Arabidopsis thaliana: one gene and its partner. The protein of the gene in region 1 purifies or fractionates together with the protein of each later gene. This does not show direct contact. Each region holds a gene or a part of one and is shown in the gene's direction. Other genes may lie near its edges.

Region 1 (10,487 bases):
GAGAGATATGTCAGAATGCATTAACACAGAGAAAACTCCTTATGCAAGTGCAGTAGGAAGTGTTATGTATTCTATGATTGGTACTCGTCCTGACTTAGCCTATGCATTAGGTCTGGTTAGTCGGTTCATGAGCAAGCCCGGGTCTATGCATTGGGAAGAAGTTAAATGGCTGTTGAGATATATAAAGGGCTCACAAGAGTTGTGTCTTGTGTATACCAAAGGGAAGAATTTGAATATTATGGGTTACTGTGATTCAGATCATGGTGGAGATCTTGAAAAACAAAGATCTGTTAGTGGATATATTTTCACTGTGGGAGACAACACAGTTAGTTGGAAATCTTGTCTGCAGTCAATTGTTGCATTGTCTACTACTGAAGAAGAGTTTATAGCCTTAACAGAAGCTGTGAAAGAAGCTATTTGGGTTAAAGGGCTAATGGAAGATCTTGGTTTCAAGCAGGATAAAGTTCAGGTGTGGTGTGACTCTCAGTCTGCGATTTGCCTAACCAAGAACAATGTGTTCCATGAAAGGACTAAACACATGTTGCGTAAACGGGCATTTATGAGTGAGATCATAGAAGAAGGGGAAATAAATGTGGTGAAGATCCACACGTCAAACAATCCTCCAGATATGTTGACTAAGTGTATCCCAATTCACAAGTTTGTTTCAGCTTTGGAGTTTCTGAAGTTGATCAAGTGGGACTGAGCTTTCATGCTCGGTTTGCTGAAGGTTAAGTCCATGTATGGCATCTACTATGTTTGATGAAGACTTGTATCAAGGTGGAGATTGTGAAGGTGTGATCCAATTCTTCCGGTTTAGTCTGATGTCAACTTGATTAGACCGGTTAGTATTGGTTAGTGATTGATTGTTGGTTTAAGCATCAATTGAAGGGTTAGAAGACTGATTTTAAGTGTTTGAGAAAAGGATCAGAAGACTCCAGCTGGTTTAGAGGGTTTGCCGTTTTGGTCTGGTTCTATAAATACTTTGTATTCTCAGCTTCTTTCTCTTTGTACTGTATTTTCTTCTTCTTCGTTTGTAATCTCCATTGAAGAGCTCTGTTCTTGAGTTTCTGGAGAAAGACATTAAATCTTCATAGTGGATTGCTGGATTGAATTCAGCCCCAGACATAGATTCATCACATCGATGGATTAAACTGAGTAAACAACTTTGTGTCTTTGTTCTTTCTTTTTGTTTTCATTCACGATTCAAAAAAGTGTTTGATTCTTGAGAGTTGAGAGAGATTGAGTTGGAAAGTGTTAAAGTTTCGTGTGGTTTTGAGCATCGGTTTACAACATTTATACGTACATAATCTATTTATATTTTCATAAAACTTATATTTATATTTAAACCTTTAACGAACTCTACTATATGATTGTGATCGTTACTTTTAATTTTTTTATACATATATTCTTTCGCGCTGCGCAGCTTGGATCGATACCTAGTACATTTATTTATTGTACTTGTTTTCTAACGTCACGCTGTTTAGATGACTGAAAAACGGCATGTAGTTTTCAGTCCAGATCATCATCTCTACCATTCCCTTATGGCCTTATCTAACCCAACGATAAAACGCAGGAGCCATAGAAGAATAACAGATAAAACTCTCTGTGTGAGTGAGTGAGACTCAACCATGGCGTCTTTGGCTCAGCAATTCTCGGGATTGAGATGTTCCCCACTCTCTTCTTCTTCTAGGTTATCGAGGAGAGCTTCGAAGAACTTTCCCCAGAACAAATCTGCCTCTGTTTCTCCGACTATTGTCGCCGCGGTTGCAATGTCTAGCGGTCAAACAAAGGAGCGTCTTGAGCTGAAGAAGATGTTCGAAGATGCTTATGAACGATGTAGAACTTCTCCTATGGAAGGTGTTGCTTTCACCGTCGACGATTTCGCTGCTGCTATTGAACAATACGACTTCAATTCCGAAATCGGCACTAGGGTTTGTCTATTCTCTTTTACCTACTTCAGATTCTTTGGGGAATTTGAAATATAGTTCTAAAGATATGAGTTTTATTACATGACAATGGTGGTTCTGTAGAAATTGTGTATCATTTGTGGTTAATGATGTTGTTTTAGGTAAAAGGAACAGTGTTCAAGACTGATGCAAATGGTGCATTAGTTGACATTTCTGCAAAGTCATCGGCTTACTTGTCGGTAGAACAAGCGTGTATTCATAGAATTAAGCATGTGGAAGAAGCTGGTATTGTACCTGGTATGGTGGAAGAGTTTGTCATCATTGGTGAAAATGAAAGTGATGACAGTTTGCTATTGAGCTTAAGGAATATTCAATACGAACTTGCTTGGGAACGTTGCAGGCAGCTTCAGGCTGAGGATGTTATTGTCAAGGCTAAGGTATGTTTGAAACTTGTTTGCTACTATTGTGGTTTCTGTGGTTATAGTTTCAGGAATTTGATTGTTATGTGTAGGTTATTGGTGCTAACAAAGGTGGATTGGTTGCTCTTGTGGAAGGTCTTCGTGGATTTGTGCCCTTTTCGCAGATATCATCGGTTAGTAGTTGCCTCAGAACTGTGAATATTTCAAGGTTTTGTTAGTTGATTTTAAGACGAAACACAACCTGATATATATGAAATGTGTTTTCTTCTACATTTTTGTCAGAAAGCAGCAGCTGAAGAGCTTCTTGAAAAAGAAATACCTCTTAAGTTTGTGGAGGTTGATGAGGAACAAACAAAGCTTGTCCTCAGCAACCGTAAAGCTGTAGCAGATAGCCAAGCTCAGCTTGGAATTGGATCTGTGGTCCTCGGAGTTGTTCAGAGCTTGAAACCTTATGGTGCCTTCATTGACATTGGTGGAATCAATGGGCTTCTTCATGTCAGTCAGATAAGTCATGACCGTGTCTCAGATATCGCAACTGTTCTTCAGCCTGGTGACACTTTGAAGGTATACTCTTAAACGTTTAATTTCAGATGTTAAAACAACAGTCCCTAACTTTTAATGTACAGGTTATGATATTGAGTCACGACCGTGACAGAGGAAGAGTAAGTCTCTCCACAAAGAAGCTGGAGCCAACACCTGGTGATATGATTCGTAACCCAAAACTTGTGTTCGAGAAGGTAACTCTATTTCCATTCAAAAAAACTTTCCCTATTTTCTTTTATGTCTCAATCATTTGCTACTTTCTGCTGTCTCAAGGCTGAGGAGATGGCTCAGACATTCAGACAGAGAATTGCGCAAGCAGAAGCCATGGCTCGTGCAGACATGCTTCGCTTCCAACCTGAGGTATCATTCTCCACTTGCCTGATCTCGTTTATCCATGCTTATTGATTTCTTATTGCAATCAAGTTCCAAAAGTGTACATGTTTAGTAACCATCTAAGATTTTTTCCTTTTACATTGATCATCACAAATGAGTTAATTTGGATTTTGAGAATTATGTTGTTGTTTTCGGTATGTTGGTTTGTTTAACCATAACCATAGAAGGTTGTAATTGGTGGAGGATAATAAGCTCATGTTGTTGTGTGTTTGAACAGAGTGGACTGACGCTGAGTTCTGACGGGATACTAGGACCACTCGGATCTGAGTTACCAGATGATGGCGTAGATCTAACGGTCGACGACATTCCTTCTGCAGTTGATATTTAGATTCTAAAGCTTTAGTGTATTTTTTCATACACAAAAACACCTCCTTGAGCTTAATTGAATATGTAGTTTACTTCCTACAAGACATTTTATCATGTGTACTTTGTCTTTTGTAATCGATATGTTCTGTTACAATGTCAAGAAACCAAAGAAAGGCTTTGCCCAAGACCAAACAGAGCACACGGTCTTAAAAAAAAAGATATTGTTAAATTTTTAATAAGAATTTATCCATAACCTTTACGGCAGAACAGGTGTCTTGACAAAGTTTGTTTAGCGGCTGTTGTTAGCAAATGTGATTGGGTCTACCCTATTTTGAGTGTGATTGAAGCTGGAGAAGTAAGAAGAAACTGTAACATATTGTCTAAAGAAGCAGGAATTAGATGGGTAGGTTTACCAAATGGCTTGTTTAGTTCTATTCAAGGATTTCGACACTAGTTTTAAAATCACCAGGGAACGTGATAGGACTATGAGGGTGGTGTTGGGTATGGATATCTTCAGACTCATTGAGTATATGGAGGATCAAATAGGTACTGAAATATTTCAAATGTCCAAAGACTTGATTTGATTAAAGTATCTTGGAGACGAGGAAATGGTTAGACTAAGAAATTATTCGTTTTTGTAGGGTTCTGGCTGATTAAGAATCCACGTAACGTTTTGGAAGATGGTGTGATTAAATATCTTAAGCAAGGGATAAATGTAAAGCACCAAATCAGATTTCGTACCGTTTTCAATAATTTTGATATTTTGAAGAATGAAGTTGTTCTTGGTGGTGGTGATTCGGAACTGGAAATTCAGATGGAGGTTTCTATGTGAGTGTATCTTGCGTTAGGATTGCTCTAAACAGACCTGCGAGGATTCCTTCATTCTCGCACAAGGTTATCGTATCTCACAAATTTGATTGATGGTCTCTTCTCATTGGCTAATGATATGCAACATGATCAAACTCATTTGTCTGAATCTCACCAAAGCTCATAGTTTTTCGACAAGCCCAAACTGATAGATCTGCATTACAACTCTCTATCTATATTTTATACGTTATAAGAAACAAGTCAAGCTTTTTTTATTATTTTATAAGTTAAATTTACCTTTTCAACTTGGTATGAAAATCATCAAAGAAAATATTTTAATGCAAACCATTTCTTCTCTCTATTTTATTTCATTGATTTTCTAGAAAAACACAAAACATATTAAAACTGATTATAAATATATTATTTTTGTGATTTATATTTTTCTATAATTTTAAGCCAATGATATTTAATTATTTGTCTTAAAATTTAAAATTCATCAATAATAATTAATAAATAGTGCATAGAAAAACTAAAAAAAATAATCTTTTTGAAACAATTTTTTTTTCTAAGAAATGAATTAATAAAGAACAGAAGGAGTATAATATAGCTTATTATCCAAAAATTTAAGCGAGGTTTCTTCTAGTTACAATTATGTTTTGTAATACTATGAGATATATTTTCCATATAAGATCAAATTGGATAATAGAAATTTATGGCATTTCGAAATAATACAAATTGAAATGTTTTATATAGAATTCCTTAGATGGTTTTTTTTTTTCATTTATTCTTCGATACTAAAATTTGCATTCTTTTTTTTTGCTAAATAAAATTTGCATTCTTTAAGAAAGGCCATTAAGCATAGGTAGCAACAATTTATCTCGTATAAATCAATTTATTTGATGGATTAGTCATTTGATCCATATCAGATATAAAGAGATATTTAATGGGATTAGTCGCTAATTACTATATAATATCATACCAGGAAAGGTTATTTGATTATATGCCATTTAACAACAAACAAGTCAAACACTCAGTAACTGTACATCGATTATCGATTGATATTTTGGGATCGATAGTACTTTCATAGTATCAGTAGTGATATATTTTCGGATTTTAGTAATCCTTGGTTAAATTAACAAATATTACTAATAGATGTTAAAACCAAACTACTGATATCAACTACAACTAGTTGATGTAAAAAGGTAGGTAGTACCATTCTACTAATCCAATAGTTTTCAAAATTGATGTACACAAATATTTGAAATAATCTATTAGGTTGTTTAAAAAAAAATGAAAGAGAAGGCGATTAAAGCCATAATAGCATTATCATTCTTATTATTGATTACTTATTAAAAAGAGAGGGGGATACAAAAGCAAATTAAGGGTAGCCGAGGTTGTCATGGAAATAAAAGTCTTGAAAAAACACAAGACCAACCACTCTTATCTCACAAACATAAAAGAAGTTTGCTATATATAATTATAAGAAAATTATAGATATAGCTAAAACCTTGCATTAAAAAGAAAGCGATAAAAGATAGCTTCCATGCATGTTAGGGATTTGATTTTGCGGCGGAAGGAGCGAGGCTAGTAAGACCATCACAACCTGATTCTTTAGAGGCCAAGGCTGCAACGATCGGATTCAGCTTCGACTCGTTCTCAACAAATGTCTTGTAGTCTAAACTCGTGTCTTCATAAATGTCCCACCATTTTTTCACCAACATTTTAATATCTTCTCGGTCCATATGCTCCTCTTCTCCAGTGAATCTCCAAGGTTTTGAGCCCTAGAAAATGATTCAAAATTAACATGACCAACATTAATTAGTAACATGATCTATTATATTACATATCAAGAGTCCTATTAAGAGATTAAAAACAAACATACTTTAGCACAATAATGAACAACATTGATTTGGTCGAGGTCAATGCATTCGGGATGACGCCAAAGCATAGCTAGTACGAGGTTGTACGTCGAAGGGATTGGCTTGTAAATATCTCTAAAGTATATATTCAGAAAATCTTATAAATAGATAAACAATAATATTAGATTTGTAAAATAAATGTAAATAATGAAAATAAAAGTCTTAAAAAATCCTAATTGATCGGACCTGTTCGGCGAATGAAGTAGGAGTGGTGACTTGAACAGTTTGAAGAAGATCCTCGTAAGTGAGGAGATTTGGTTCAAAGACCAACATACCCGCGTTGAAATACAATGGCGGCACATGACCAAGACTGTTCATCGGCCACCTCACTTTTTCGGGCGACTGTTGGCAGTAACCAATCTTGTATTGAGGTGTTTTTGACCAAGAACCCTCGCAAAAACAGTCTTTGACGGCGTACAAGTAGCCAGATGGAGTGTCAAATAGATGATCGATGTTGCTAAACACTTGTATGTCTCCATCTAAATATATCATCTTCTCATATTCCACAAACTGCATTTATATATGTAATCATATGGTTAGAATAAAATATATATACTATAAGACTTAAGACAAACTTTATACATATGTTCTTGAAATGTTATTTACTAAATTAAAACAACTTCTGAGAATAATAATAAGCGTTATTATTATAGATTTGTGACTATATATAAATCTTGATTAGTATACGGCACATGACAATTTATTTGTTAGATAAAATGATAAGCGTTATTATTTGTTTCTGTTAAAAAATTCACAAACATTCAAATCCACGTGTCACTCAAAGTAATTTGTGGGTACGTGTTTACATGCAATAAACGATAGTTGACAAAGAAAACCGATACAGTGATATACGGATATATGCATGTAAGTAAGATCCTACCTCCCAAATTCGAAGCTTGGAGTAGTTGATAACGTAATAAGCCATAGCATAACCAGCTTGGTTTTCCGGCGGATAAACCGGTTCAATCTCCCGGATGATACATCCTTGAGCCACCAAGATTTGACGGTGTTCTTTCGGTACGTCTGGGAGCATAGCCACAACAAGAGGATAAGCTGCTTTCACCTTACGAAGTCCCTTGGCTAAACCAACCACACCCATCCAATAGTCTTGGTTACCAGCTAGGAAAGTGACGTAAGCCCTTTTTCCATCATTAGGAATCACCGCCACGTCAGCCTCTACCTTTCTTTCGATGTTCATCTCCGTTGGTGCCATCTCAAAAGAAGCTTAGTCTCTTTAGATAAGTTTTAAAAGATAAGAACTTTTTTTTTGGTTGCGGTTATAAGATATGTCGATGGTGATATTATATAAAGGAGAGAAAGAGGAAGTTGAATTAATTATGGTTTTGATTTTGAATATCTTAGGGGATTTTCTTATGGAAAACGTTTTTTGATTGTGATTGACCCGATTCTTGTTTGCCAAGATTTAGAATCGGATAAAGATATTAAATCTAGAATCGTAAATAATATGGAAATTGAAATATTAATTGGTGTGATAAATGTTGATGTATATGGTACATACCATGTTCTTGTAAGTCTTTTGTGTATGGAATATTTATTTAGTTCAACGTGGCCCTATTATTATATCGGTTTTATCCTAAGTTGGACGTTTTCAAGATACCGTTAATTCATCCGAATATTTTGTAGATTGGAGTTTCCTACTACTAATTTTTTTTCTTTATTTTTTGAATATCAGGAGGTTTTGGACCGAAGCCCGTAATTTTTCCAGGCCCGAAACCACATCATGTAATATTAGTTTCATCCCAAACATCATTCGAACCGGCGACCTCTAAGCTTCGCCAAAGGTCTTTACCAATTGAGCTAATGCCAGTCGAAAAACCAAATTAGGTATTAAGTTTGGTAAATTCAGGTCAATTAGTGATATTTTTAGGTATAAAATATTCAAATGCCATATACAGTCGAAAAACCAAATTAGCATAACAATTAGTCTCACTGTCTTCTTTCAGACCTAAATACGGATTTGAGTTTGCTAATTTTTGTTGGTCAAAAGAACGAAAAGATTGCGATCACAAATGAAATGATGTTTCGTTTCATAATTGGGTTGAAATAAAAACATGGGCTTCAGAAGTTGGGATTTCATTTGCATTACAAGCCCATTTCATTGTCCATGGCCTACAAGAGAGGATGTTCTCAATTCTTATGAACGAGACATAAAAAATCAGAATCAATCATGCAACGGGAACTCGGTTTAGACTATGGAAAGAATGTGACCAAAATGGCTTGAGAAAATGATTTCATACATGTTAAAAGGGTCGGTCACATTTCATTTCATACATCATCGTGTCTTCTCTTGGACTGAAGAGCTAAACGAGCGTCTCTCTCTTTCTCAAACTGTCTGTAATCAGCTCTCTCCAAGAAACCAACTTTGTCGAGATACTGATCCGAGCTTTTCTTGTACTTATCTAGCTCGTCTTCAACACCTTTGTGTTCTTCCTTATACTCTCCCCAATCTTTCTTCGTCTTGTCCAAAACACTCAGCTTTTGTTTCTTTTTTATCTGCTCAAGAACCGCATCAACCGCTGAAGGCGCTGCTGAGGAGGAAGAGGAGCCTTTGTTTCCCCTCTCCAATGCTTCCTTTGAATCCGCTTCAACTAACCGCTTTACTTCGATTTCTTGACCCGCAAAATCTTTGACCTCGGTTATCTGGAAATAATCGAGAAGAACATATGTATTAACTGAATGAATACGCCCCAAGTGCAAATCACAGATCACAGAGGTTCAATTAATTAGATTCTATTCTAACACATTCCATATTCCTAGTTCCAAAAAGCTGATAAGATCATAGTAACTAACAACACAAACTCAAACAAAAAGGAAGTTTTATTTATGGATTGCAACGCATCAATCAAACCACATTAACTTGAGACAGAGATTCTAGTCATCCACAATCCATCTTCTTACTTCTAAACAGCTGATACGATCAAAGATTCTAAGTTATATCAATACAATAACAAGCTAAAACACAGATTCAAACAAAAAGCAAGCATTGTTTTCATATCACAAAGGATCAATCAAACTACACTTTTTCTTGAGACGTAGATTCTAATCCTACACAATCCACCTTCCTAGTTTTAAACAGCTGATAAGATCTTACATTCTAACAATACGGTACCGCGCCAAAACACAGATTCGAACCAAAAACAAACTGTACATACGGATAAAGAAAGGTTAAATCAAATTGCATTTTAACTGAAAACAGAGATTCCAAAATCCATCTTCTTAGTTACAAACAACTAATCAAACAATTCTGAGCCAAAAACAAAGTCAAGAAACGAGCTTTAAACAATCCACCTTCCTAGTTTTAAACAGCTGATAAGATTTTACATTCTATCGATACGGTACCGCGCCAAAACACAGATTCGAACAAAAAAAAACTTTCGGGGATCTTACATCCTAACGATACAGTACCAAGCTTTAAACAATCCACCTTCCTAGTTTTAAACACAGATTCGAAAAAAGGTTCAATCAAAATGCATTTCAACCCAAAACAGAGATTCCAGTCCTCCACAATCTATCTTCTTAGTTCCAAACAACTGAGAAGGCCTTCGAATCTAACAATTCCGAGTCAAACACAAACTCAAACAAGAAATGAGGTTTATTCGGGGATCGTAAAGGTTCAATCAAAATCAAACTACATTTTAACTCGAGACAGAGATTCTACTCCTACACCATCTATCTTCTTAGTTCCTAAACAACTAATCAAACCTTAGATTCATAAAATTCTGAGCCAAACACAAACTCAAACAAGAAACGAGCTTTATTTTCTTATCGTAAAGGTTCAATCAAACCACATTTTTACTCGAGACAGTGATTCAACTCCTACACAATCTATCTTTTTAGCTCCAAAACAGCTGATAAGATCTTATCTTCTAACAATAACGAACCAAAACACACAAATTCAAACATAAAACTTTTCTAACCTCAATCTTGCCCCGGCTCGATGCAGCTGCAGCCGTTACAGTTGCGTTTCGCACCGCAGCTAAAGCGGCTGCAGCAATACTCTTAGCCTCCTCACTACAGCTATGATTCAAAACACTCTTCTGTACATCAGAAACACAAGTATCCTTCTTCTTCACATTCACACCGAGATAACTTTTCCAATTCTGCAAATTTTTTTTGAAAAACACATTCAAAATCCCAAACGTAAGAAAAGAATCAAAACGCAGAGAGAGTAG
Region 2 (10,445 bases), on another chromosome or scaffold:
TATTATGTATTCATGTTGTTTATTGACAGAGAATAATAACATTTTGGCTAAACGTATCAAATTTTAACGAAAATTCTATGTGCAAGTATATAAACTTCATTTGGTAATTAAGTTATCAATTACTTGTCAATTATTTCTAGTCTATTATAGTATTTCTCTAGATATTTTGTGGGTCAAATAAAAAATGAGAGAACTAGTCGACAAAGGAAAAGAGATATTTTTACGAATAGTTTAAAAATGAGTCTATAAATTAGATGAAGGAAGCCCTTTAGTAAGTACTTCACACTTGACACAATTCTATCCAAAATCAACCCAAAAAAAGAAAGAAATATGTGGGATGAAACTGTAGCCGGACCTAAACCGGAGCATGGCCTTGGCCGCCTCCGCAATAAGATCACCACCCAACCCCTTGACATCAAAGGTATTTATTTTTCTTTGTCAACCATAACTCCGTAATAAACTTGCATATACAGATCTTTGTAGAAACGTATGATCTCATAATTATATCATGTGATGGTTTTTGGAAGGTGTAGGAGAAGGGAGCAGTAGTAAAACTGTGGCGGCGGTGGCCGGGAGTCCTGGAACTCCGACGACGCCAGGATCGGCGCGTAAGGAAAACGTGTGGAGAAGTGTGTTTCATCCAGGAAGTAACATCGCCACTAGAGGAATGGGCACAAACCTCTTCGACAAGCCTTCTCACCCAAACTCTCCCACCGTCTACGATTGGTACGTACTCAGTTTCTGTTATTATTATCTGACCGGACGGTGTAGATCAGATCTAAGATGGTTTGACCGTTGTTGTGATCCCGCAGGCTATACAGCGACGACACTAGGAGCAAGCACCGTTGAGCCGAGAGGGTAGAGTGACATGAGAATGATGTAAAATAATTATGTTCTTTACGCCACGTGTTTATGTTCTGTTTCGTCTATTTTGGCTATATGTGCAATCTTTTATTTGCTTCATGTCGTTTGTGTTTGTTAGTGACCGTTGATTTCCACCATCTGGGTTAGTTTTTAGCTTTTAACGGTGGCGATGCGTCTTCAGTGTCTTGTAATATTTTTACTGTTCGGTAATATTACAATTAGCTTCTCTAATGATTTAGCTAACAATATAACTTAACTTAACTATAATTAGCAAAATGGAATTTAACTTAACCATGGTTGATCTCATATCATTATTTTTATTTTATTTTATTTGTTCATCATTAAAATATCTCAATCATGCATGGTTAGATGAATTCGTTGTGTCAACAAACAATTATGATAGTGATTTGATTAAATTTTAACTGAACTATGGTTGATCTCATCTCATTAAATAACAAAAACATAACAATGGTTAAATGCATTCTTTGTGTCAACAAACCATTATGATAGTGATTTAATTAAAGTTTATACATGTCTTTGGATACAGTTGTAATTTTTTATATATATTTTTTTGTCTGATTTGATATAATTATACAAAGTTACACAAAAAGAACCAATCCAAAGCTCAGGGATCAACCTATTTTAATCACCATGGTTGATCTCATCTCATTAAATAACAAAAACATAACCATGGTTAGGTGAATTCTTTGTGTCAACAAACCATTATGATAGTGATTTAATTAAAGTTTATACATGTCTGGATACAAATGTAATATATATTTAATTTTTTGTCATCTGATTTGATTAAAGAAGAAGATAGAATACAAGGTTACACAAAAAGAACCAACCCAAACCTGAGTCCTGCGGGATCAACCTATTCAAAGCACATTTTCAATACAAGGGGAATATACAAAAGAAGTGTCTCCACCTACACAAAAACACACAAGTTCATAGAGAAGAAAGAGATCTTTCACCATTAAACACACGTTACACACCTTGCAACCAAGAGCTACATACAAATGGAGCCGTAAAAGTCATTAGTTATACTTTGTGCAATGAGATTAGCTCCTTTATAAGTCACTTTGGATTCACTGCCATCTTCTATTCAAAACCTTAAAACGAGATGATAATATTAACACATATACCACAAAAAAGCATTGACCATTTCACATGCCATTCGTTAATCAATTGTAAACAAATTTTATGAAACAATCTACCTAAACTATCATAATTTTGTCACGATTAGACCGAAACTATCATTCTAATTAGTTCACACTACACAATATAGAATCTATCATATATATGTAGCAACCAATTCTTTATCTAAAAAAAAGTAAAATTTTGTAACACCCATATAAATATTTAACTTTCACTCTGAATTATTCATTTTTTTTTGTAGAAAGCAAAAGACACCGTAGTGAAGTGAATAATTCTTCTTCTGCTCGGTGGCGTTGTGGGAATGGGAGAGAGTAAGACGACGACAGGAGAGGGCTTCGGGTTTTACAAGGAATATGTCGCCGGAATGATGGCTGGTCTCGCCACTGTCGCCGTCGGCCACCCTTTCGACACCGTCAAGGTACTCAATTTTCAATCCTAGTTTTCGATTTTTCTTGTAAAATATGTGTTTATCAGAGTTTACACCAAATGGGTATATATGTGTTTCATCTTCCAATTTGAGAAATTATGTTTCAGTACTTCAATTCTATACTTTAGTTTTTAATTAAGGATGCATTGGTGTGAGAAAGTGTTCTACACTGGACCATTGATATATATTCACTTATCAGTTATGTGTTGATTGTTTACCTCTATGCCTAAAACTATCGTTAAGCAAAGAAGATATAAAACCATCCATCATATATCTCAATGAGGTTTCTTCTGATGCTGTTTGGGACTTAAATGGTTTCTTTTTGCTTAGGAGCTTTCTATGCATAAAAATCATTTCTTGTTTTAGGCTAACCATTTTTAGATAGTTTATCACTGGATTGGCATCACTCATGTTTGGAAGTAATGATTCTAACTTTGGGGTTTTGGCTTTTGTTTCTTGTGTCAGGTGAAACTTCAGAAACATAATACAGATGTGCAAGGGCTCAGATACAAAAATGGGCTGCATTGTGCTTCGAGGATCTTGCAAACTGAAGGAGTATATTTTCACTGCACTCTTTTTGTTATGTTTTCAAGACTTTAGCATCCTGCAAACAGTTTTAGTTATTGAAAGTCTGGATTTTTCAGTGTCAATGGAATCTTACTAGATCCATCATCACCTGTTTGGCCAGATACAAGGGTTTTTTTTTTGCTGACTTGAATTCATATTTAGGTCAAAGGACTTTATAGGGGAGCAACATCGTCGTTTATGGGAATGGCTTTTGAAAGTTCATTGATGTTTGGCATATACTCCCAGGCTAAGCTGTTCTTGCGGGTAACATTGCAGACCAAATGATCTTTCACTGTATTTTCCTCCAGATTTCAAATTTCGCTTCTTTCTTGTTTTATTGTAAAGGGAACTTTGCCAGATGATGGGCCACGACCAGAGATAATTGTTCCGTCTGCTATGTTTGGTGGAGCTATCATTAGTTTTGTGTTATGTCCAACAGAGCTAGTAAAGGTGAAATCTCCAGAACACCATTTCTTTCCCCGCAATTATCACCTTTGATGGTTTCCATGGAGTTTTGGGACATTCACTGTTTTGTTCAGTGTAGAATGCAGATCCAAGGAACGGATTCTCTGGTTCCTAACTTCCGTAGATACAACAGTCCTCTTGATTGTGCCGTTCAGACCGTTAAAAATGATGGGGTGAGAAACTCTCGTTGCTAAAATATTCTACTTAAGAATCGAATATCAGGTTGATGGGGATATCTTTCAGGTAACAGGTATCTTTCGTGGTGGTTCGGCAACCTTATTAAGAGAATGTACGGGAAATGCTGTCTTTTTTACTGTCTATGAGTACTTACGGTATCATATCCACTCGAGATTGGAGGATTCTAAGCTGAAAGATGGTTACTTGGTTGACATGGGGATAGGAGTTCTCACTGGTGGTCTTGGAGGCATAGCTGTAGGAATCTATATAGTGTGTTTCATAAATTCCATCATAAAAAATGTTGCTATTTTATATGAATATTACTTCTGCTTCTATGATGCAGTGCTGGTCAGCTGTTTTGCCTTTTGATGTAGCAAAAACCATAATCCAGACCTCTTCAGAGAAAGCTACAGAGAGAAATCCTTTTAAAGTGTTGAGCTCGGTCAGTCAGCCATCTTCCCTCTATGAATCTAATTACCGATACAAAAGAGTATATGAAATATTGTTTTTGACTTTAAATCATCTCTGCAGATTCACAAGAGGGCAGGACTCAAGGGATGCTATGCAGGTTTGGGTCCAACCATTGTGAGAGCATTCCCTGCTAATGCAGCAGCAATTGTTGCTTGGGAGTTCTCAATGAAAATGTTGGGAATCAAACGTGACTAGGATTAGTCTTCCAATCTAATTTATTTGGTTCGATTTACAGATCTTTAAACCACAAGGAGCTTGCATTTGCTTCAGATTTTGATGAGCTTTCATGTAACAGAACTACATATATCACGAATCAAAAGTGTCTCCCAGATTATTATTTTTGATAGCTATTTAGCTGTCTCCTCATTTGTTGATTGCAAAACAAATACAGATCCCTGGTGTAGTTTAAGATCTTGGCTTGAAATAACATTTGACAAGTTTAAAGAGTTATTACACATAATTTCTTCAAGCATTTACTAAGTCTCAATGCATTTATTTAACCATGTCGTAGGTTTAGCAGATAGCTTTGATTACAGGTAATATGGAGAAACAGACAGAGACACAGAGGATTACAAGGAGCTAAAAGAGACTGACAGAAGAGAGTAAGCAAAGCCTGTTTCATTAACCTTCAAACCGGGATCTCACACGTTTCACCGTCTTTAGTCAGTTGTGCTTTTCCGCCTTCTCTCGTTGTGTCCAGCTAAGCGTCTCCTGCAACTCCGCTTGGCTTCATCAAACTCACTGAGCGCGTGAAACCTTAAAAACAAAAGGTAAAAGGTCTCATATTTCTTGTTCTTGTTTATGGTTATTGTTGCAGGAGTTTTGAAAAAAGATGACAAAAATTTACCTGCTGCATTGTTGGCAGAAACGTTGGTGAAGACCAGAGATCCGAACATGAGGAGCTTTGGCATGAAACTGGCAGACTTTGTGTCGTTTGTGGTACTGTTTGGCTTTGCTCATATCCGCGGTACAACTCTCGACCTGACAAACTCCACTACTACTTGTAGCTTTACCTTTCTGCTTCTTCTCCAAAGCCTCTTCTTCTTCAAAAGTATCTTCATCTTCAGTTTCTTCTTCTTCTTCCTCTTCCTCACTCAGTTCTCGTAAGCTCCTCTTCCCTTCCGCTTTGCTTCTTCTCATACTCATCTGCAAAATTCAACTCTCTCTCTCACATGAAAGATGGAACAAGAAGAGAAGAAGAGGAAGTAAAAGTAACCATTGGAAGAGATATAAAGGAGCCCCAAACAAAAGTGGGGAAGGATCTTAGGTGCTTAAGTTGTTGGACCACTAAAATTTCACTCCTAAGGTATAAAAATTATTAGCATGTTGTGTAAAAAAGAGTACGAACAAGCTTTAGTGCTCTATTATTTTGTATATGCATACATGCATACATATGTATCCTTAAAACCTGACGAGGACCCAGCTCTATTTTGTAGTTTTAAGTTAATGTCGATGCTATGACACCACCCCGGTTTATTTTGTGGTTGATCATGTTAATGCCGATGCTATTTCACCATGCGGGTTCAAATATGCATGTTGTTTGACAAGAAAATATTGAGAGAGAGAAACTGAGAAACACTGTGAACATTTTGTCGCGAGATTAGTGGAAAATACATGTGAAGAATATGTGCTAATGTAGTGATTGGAAAAGCAAGACTGAACAGTAAATTTACATTGTGTAATGTTTTATTTTTGTGGTAACAAGAAGTTGAGATTCGAACTAAAAAACAGACCAAACATACCACATTGCGTTTTTATGAATCATTCGCTTTTTTTTTTTGGTAGTTAAAGTTTCTGTATCAAAAAAGAATAACATATTTAAAAGATCATTCGTAGTGTACTATTTTATTTTTCTCTTATGTTGTTGGTTTAATCATGGAGTGACTCAATAATTTATCCAACTGTAGGTTTGTAAAAACGTTATTACTGAGGAATATGTCCACTAATTTGCACATAAATGTGTCGTAAGGTTTATATTTAGTTTCAAAAAGAAGTGTTTACGATTTTATAGTATAGGGCCACCACTAAATTAATTTGACAATTTAATTTCTTGTTTGGTGTAGATGATAAGGTCAATCAAATTAGCTATCGGGGCCACGAAGCCAAAAGTGGATATACAAGAATGGTCCAAACTTGAATTATGTATTCATTTTTCAATTGGTATTATGTAAAACAAAGATATTAGCATAATTAAATGGTAAAAACAGCAAACACAACTCTGTTATTCGAGATATTTTCTTTTCGATCTTGTACTCAGGTCTCAGGGTACACTAAAGACTACACATATCTCGAAGACACTCTGAGACTAGAAGCAACAAAAGAAAAAAAGAGAGGCTATTCTTAACGTGCAAGGAGGTTTGTGGTTCGTGAGATTTGAAGATCATCTCTAACTTAAAGTTCACACCTAAAACCAAGAAAAGAAAAAAAAAAAACTTGTTCACACCATAAAACCATGCACATATACTAGGTTATGTCATCAGCTAGATTCATGCACATCAGCACATCCACATATATAAATAATGAGGAGCGTCGTCAAATATTGATGCCAATGCTAATCAAATGTTAAATGATTTTGCCGTGTTATGTCATCAGCTAGATCCATGCACATCCACATATATAAAATATAGAAGGAAATGGTACAGCGCTATGCAAACGTTTTGCTCTATATCTCTTAGAGGTAAGGGACAAATCTATTTTTTGTCACCCCCTCCTTTTGACTATTTACGAAACAAAATCACCAGTTTACTATCTCCACTATTTAGCTCTATTTGTGTTTACATCAATCGATCTAGTTTGCCCTAACTTATTTTCATAGAGCCACTTGAACGAAAATCTTTGTTGCCGAGGCAGGCATAACATAAAATTGAGTTCCACGACACTTGAAATAAACAGAATCGAATCAATATCTTGAACCCAATTTATAAAAGGAATATTGTTATGCACTTATGGTTTATTTTCTACTTCTTTTAAGTTGAAATAATATCTTAAGAAAAAATGGACAAAAATAAATAACGTCAAGATTGGGCAGTAGAGTCGTCAGCTGTCATGACACTACTTATCATTATTGTACTGCCTGTCAATTTTTTGATTGTATCTTTTATTCAGCAGCATCACATTCTCCTTCAGTGTCCTTCTCTTCTTTTCTTTTTCTTTTCTTTTTCTTTCCTCATTAAACCCATACAATTCTACGGTAAATATTATGGATTTGCATACAAACTCTCTAATTGTTTGTTTGGGTACTATAATATGGGGTCCCTATAATATGTGTAGCTTAACTTTAAGATAGAACTAAGTCAACAAGATCCGGAGACACCATGTCAAAGTTCTATGTTCTTATGATTAGATGAACAAAGTTATGATTTATTCAAGATTATCACGATTCGAACTAGTTCTAAACTTGTAAACGTAAAATAATAAATAACGTTTGCAACTACAACACTGAACATAAATTAATGAAGTTTGCTTGATGTGTTGGTTAAAATTTGGAATGGGACAATAAAAAGAAGAAGAGAACTGAGAGAAGTGGTGGGGGAAGTGGGAACCTTAACTTCCCCACGTGACACTAACGAGCAACGTTAATTGAATAGTAGTAGGCCCTTTTTGTAGTACACTCTTTTATATATGGTCACCTTTTAATTAGTTTGCAAATCACATACTTTTAAAATCATAAAAGCAATTAACGTTGCTCGTTGGTGTCATATGCGATTGTAGTTAGTATAATCGATCTTAATTAAAACAAAGTCCATATTAAAAATGACCAAAGTATGTAAAAATAAAATGTTGAATTAGCATATGGTCACTGATCTTTTCTATTTTAAGATTTAGTAAACCTAAGATGTATCCGCAAGCCTATAGGGTTTGATGTGGATTACTACTAGTTACTTTTGTATGGGCTTGAAGAAACTTCATTGGGCCACAAAGAGGGAGGAGTGAGCGAAGAGCCCAAATTCAAACAAAAGGATATGAGGGTTCAAATGTTATTATAAAATATATTGTGGCCAATTTGTAAAGAAACTTGATAATTACTTTAAAAGCCCCAACACAATTATCTTTACAGTTTTTACGATCTGGTGCTGGATAAGCCTTTTGCTTCATTCTCACTTCCTTCCTCATCCAAAAAAGCTCCTCCATTTCAATGGCGACAGCATCAGCTCTCTCATCACTCTCTTCACTCTCACTCCACACCCGAACCTCTTCTCTCATCTCCTCTTCCTCCACAAAATCCATCGTCTCTTTCTCCTCCTTCCTCAACCGCCGCTTCTCATCTCTCACTCTCGTCAAAGCCTCATCGACCGATACCGAAACCATCTTCTTCGAAGACGAAACACCAGAAATAACCGCAAATGTCGTCTTCGACCCACCAATTGCTCCCGAAGGATTCGTCTCTCCTCCGTATTTCGACGAAGGAAGCGACGAGACAGAGGAAGAGATCGCTACCGCTTTTGAAGAGCTCTATGGACCTGCGTATAGTGGTGAGAGTATGCTTGGGAAAGATATTTATGTGATGGACTCAAAGCATAAGAAGAGTTCAGGTATTGGTGGGAAGCCAAAGAAAGATAAGATTAGAGATGGGTTTGAAGAGAGAGTTGTGCAAGTTAGGAGAGTGACTAAGGTTGTTAAAGGAGGGAAGCAATTGAAGTTTAGAGCTATCGTTGTTGTTGGTGATAAACAAGGGAATGTTGGTGTTGGTTGTGCTAAGGCTAAAGAAGTTGTTGCTGCTGTTCAGAAATCTGCTATTGATGCTAGGAGAAACATTGTTCAAGTTCCTATGACTAAGTATTCTACTTTCCCTCACAGGTAATCAAAGTTTTGGACTTGATGTTTGTAATGTGTGTTAATTGTTGGAAGAATTGGTTTTGGATGGTAAAAGTCTTACTTGGTGATGAACTAAGATTTTGGGATTAGTATTGTGCAGTCATGTGTTGGATTTGTGATGGGTTTGTTTGGTTTACAGATTGGTGTTATGGTACTTGTTTTACGAAACTGATGTTTGCATTGTGCACAAAAGTTAAAATATTGAATAATGCCCTAATGATTAGAAGAATCGGTTTTTGTTAATCAGTAGACAATGAGCTAAGATTGTGGGGTTTAGTCTTTTTAGCATTGTGTTGGATGTGATGATTTGCTTGGTTTAAGGATTGATTTATGGAAGTTGTTACTCAGAATGCTGGTTTTATGAGATTGATCTTTGTGTTGTGCACAATCAATTAGAAGAATCGGTTGGTTAATAGGCCACTGAGCTATGTTTTGGAACAATTGGAGATGGGTTTAAGTTATGTTTTAAGAGGGTTTTGTTTGGTTTTTGTATTATAGATCAGAGGGTGATTATGGAGCAGCCAAGGTGATGCTTAGACCTGCTTCACCAGGTACTGGTGTGATTGCTGGAGGAGCGGTTAGGATTGTGCTAGAGATGGCAGGAGTCGAGAATGCATTGGGGAAACAGCTTGGAAGCAACAATGCTCTCAACAATGCGAGAGCCACTCTTGCAGCAGTACAACAGATGAGACAGTTCCGCGATGTTGCACAAGAGCGTGGAATCCCCATGGAAGAACTCTGGAAGTGAAAACTCATCTTCGCTTTAACATTTTCATCCTCTTTTGTTGAGATTTCTTGTAATGATGTAATTCATGAGAAAATATGTTTATTTTGAAATAGTAAATCCTTTCTTCTCCCATAAAAGTTCACATTGACCGATTCTATTTCAGAATGCTATAGCTATGGCTGATAAGGTTGCAGGTGAAAATGTACAAGGAAGAACACATACACTTGTCCGAGACATTTATGTTAGTCCAATGAAGAGCCCATCAAGCCCAATTTAGTACTTACAGTCTTTGACAAATTCGAAAATTAAGATCATGGTCCAGATCGAATATCATAATTACCACAAGTGTTTCTTTCAGTGCAAAAGAGTCTCCTTCTCCATTCAACTTGGTATACATGCGAAGACTTGTGCCATAAAATGCTTTGTTGTTGTCCAATACTTGAGGAATTATCCTTACAACACTTTCATGGTCAGTTAATTATCCAACACTTAGATGACAACGTATAGAAAGCAAAGTATACTCTATATCCCACAAAACCCTCAAGAGACTCACGTTTCACTACAAAGCTAGAAACTTTTGTGCTCAAGGTGTCTAAATCCAAACTTAATATATACGCAGTTAACTAATCCACATGCTTCCGCGTCAAGTATTACGTACAATCCTAACTCTGTATGAATGGTGATCTCTTTGTGATGGGCTTGCACTGTGTAAGTAATCAGGGAGTCTTCATTGATCGAAATGAAGTGAAGGTGTTGGAGATATATGGGTATAGA

What was found.
Region 2: the proteins of RPS1 (region 1) and EMB3113 fractionate together in Arabidopsis thaliana (co-fractionation; one large-scale study listed by BioGRID). This does not show direct contact.

What each region holds. Positions count from the first base shown.
Region 1 is NC_003076.8:11,612,365-11,622,851, reverse strand, and holds RPS1 (ribosomal protein S1), read left to right. Parts: upstream 1-1,553; 5' UTR 1,554-1,628; coding exon 1,629-1,931; intron 1,932-2,068; coding exon 2,069-2,344; intron 2,345-2,418; coding exon 2,419-2,499; intron 2,500-2,608; coding exon 2,609-2,890; intron 2,891-2,952; coding exon 2,953-3,063; intron 3,064-3,142; coding exon 3,143-3,229; intron 3,230-3,479; coding exon 3,480-3,590; 3' UTR 3,591-3,852; downstream 3,853-10,487. Other genes in the region: GolS10 (Nucleotide-diphospho-sugar transferases superfamily protein), read right to left, coding at 5,926-6,156, 6,258-6,356, 6,481-6,804, 7,175-7,507; AT5G30490 (craniofacial development-like protein), read right to left, coding at 8,581-8,955, 10,233-10,415.
Region 2 is NC_003071.7:14,300,172-14,310,616, reverse strand, and holds EMB3113 (Ribosomal protein S5 family protein), read left to right. Parts: upstream 1-8,120; 5' UTR 8,121-8,264; coding exon 8,265-8,926; intron 8,927-9,442; coding exon 9,443-9,692; 3' UTR 9,693-9,945; downstream 9,946-10,445. Other genes in the region: AT2G33830 (Dormancy/auxin associated family protein), read left to right, coding at 331-421, 528-726, 813-849; MBAC1 (Mitochondrial substrate carrier family protein), read left to right, coding at 2,324-2,440, 2,915-3,028, 3,179-3,280, 3,362-3,466, 3,556-3,654, 3,725-3,913, 4,002-4,100, 4,190-4,324; SPL3 (squamosa promoter binding protein-like 3), read right to left, coding at 4,789-4,885, 4,977-5,275; AT2G33796 (FBD-like domain family protein), read left to right, coding at 10,365-10,445.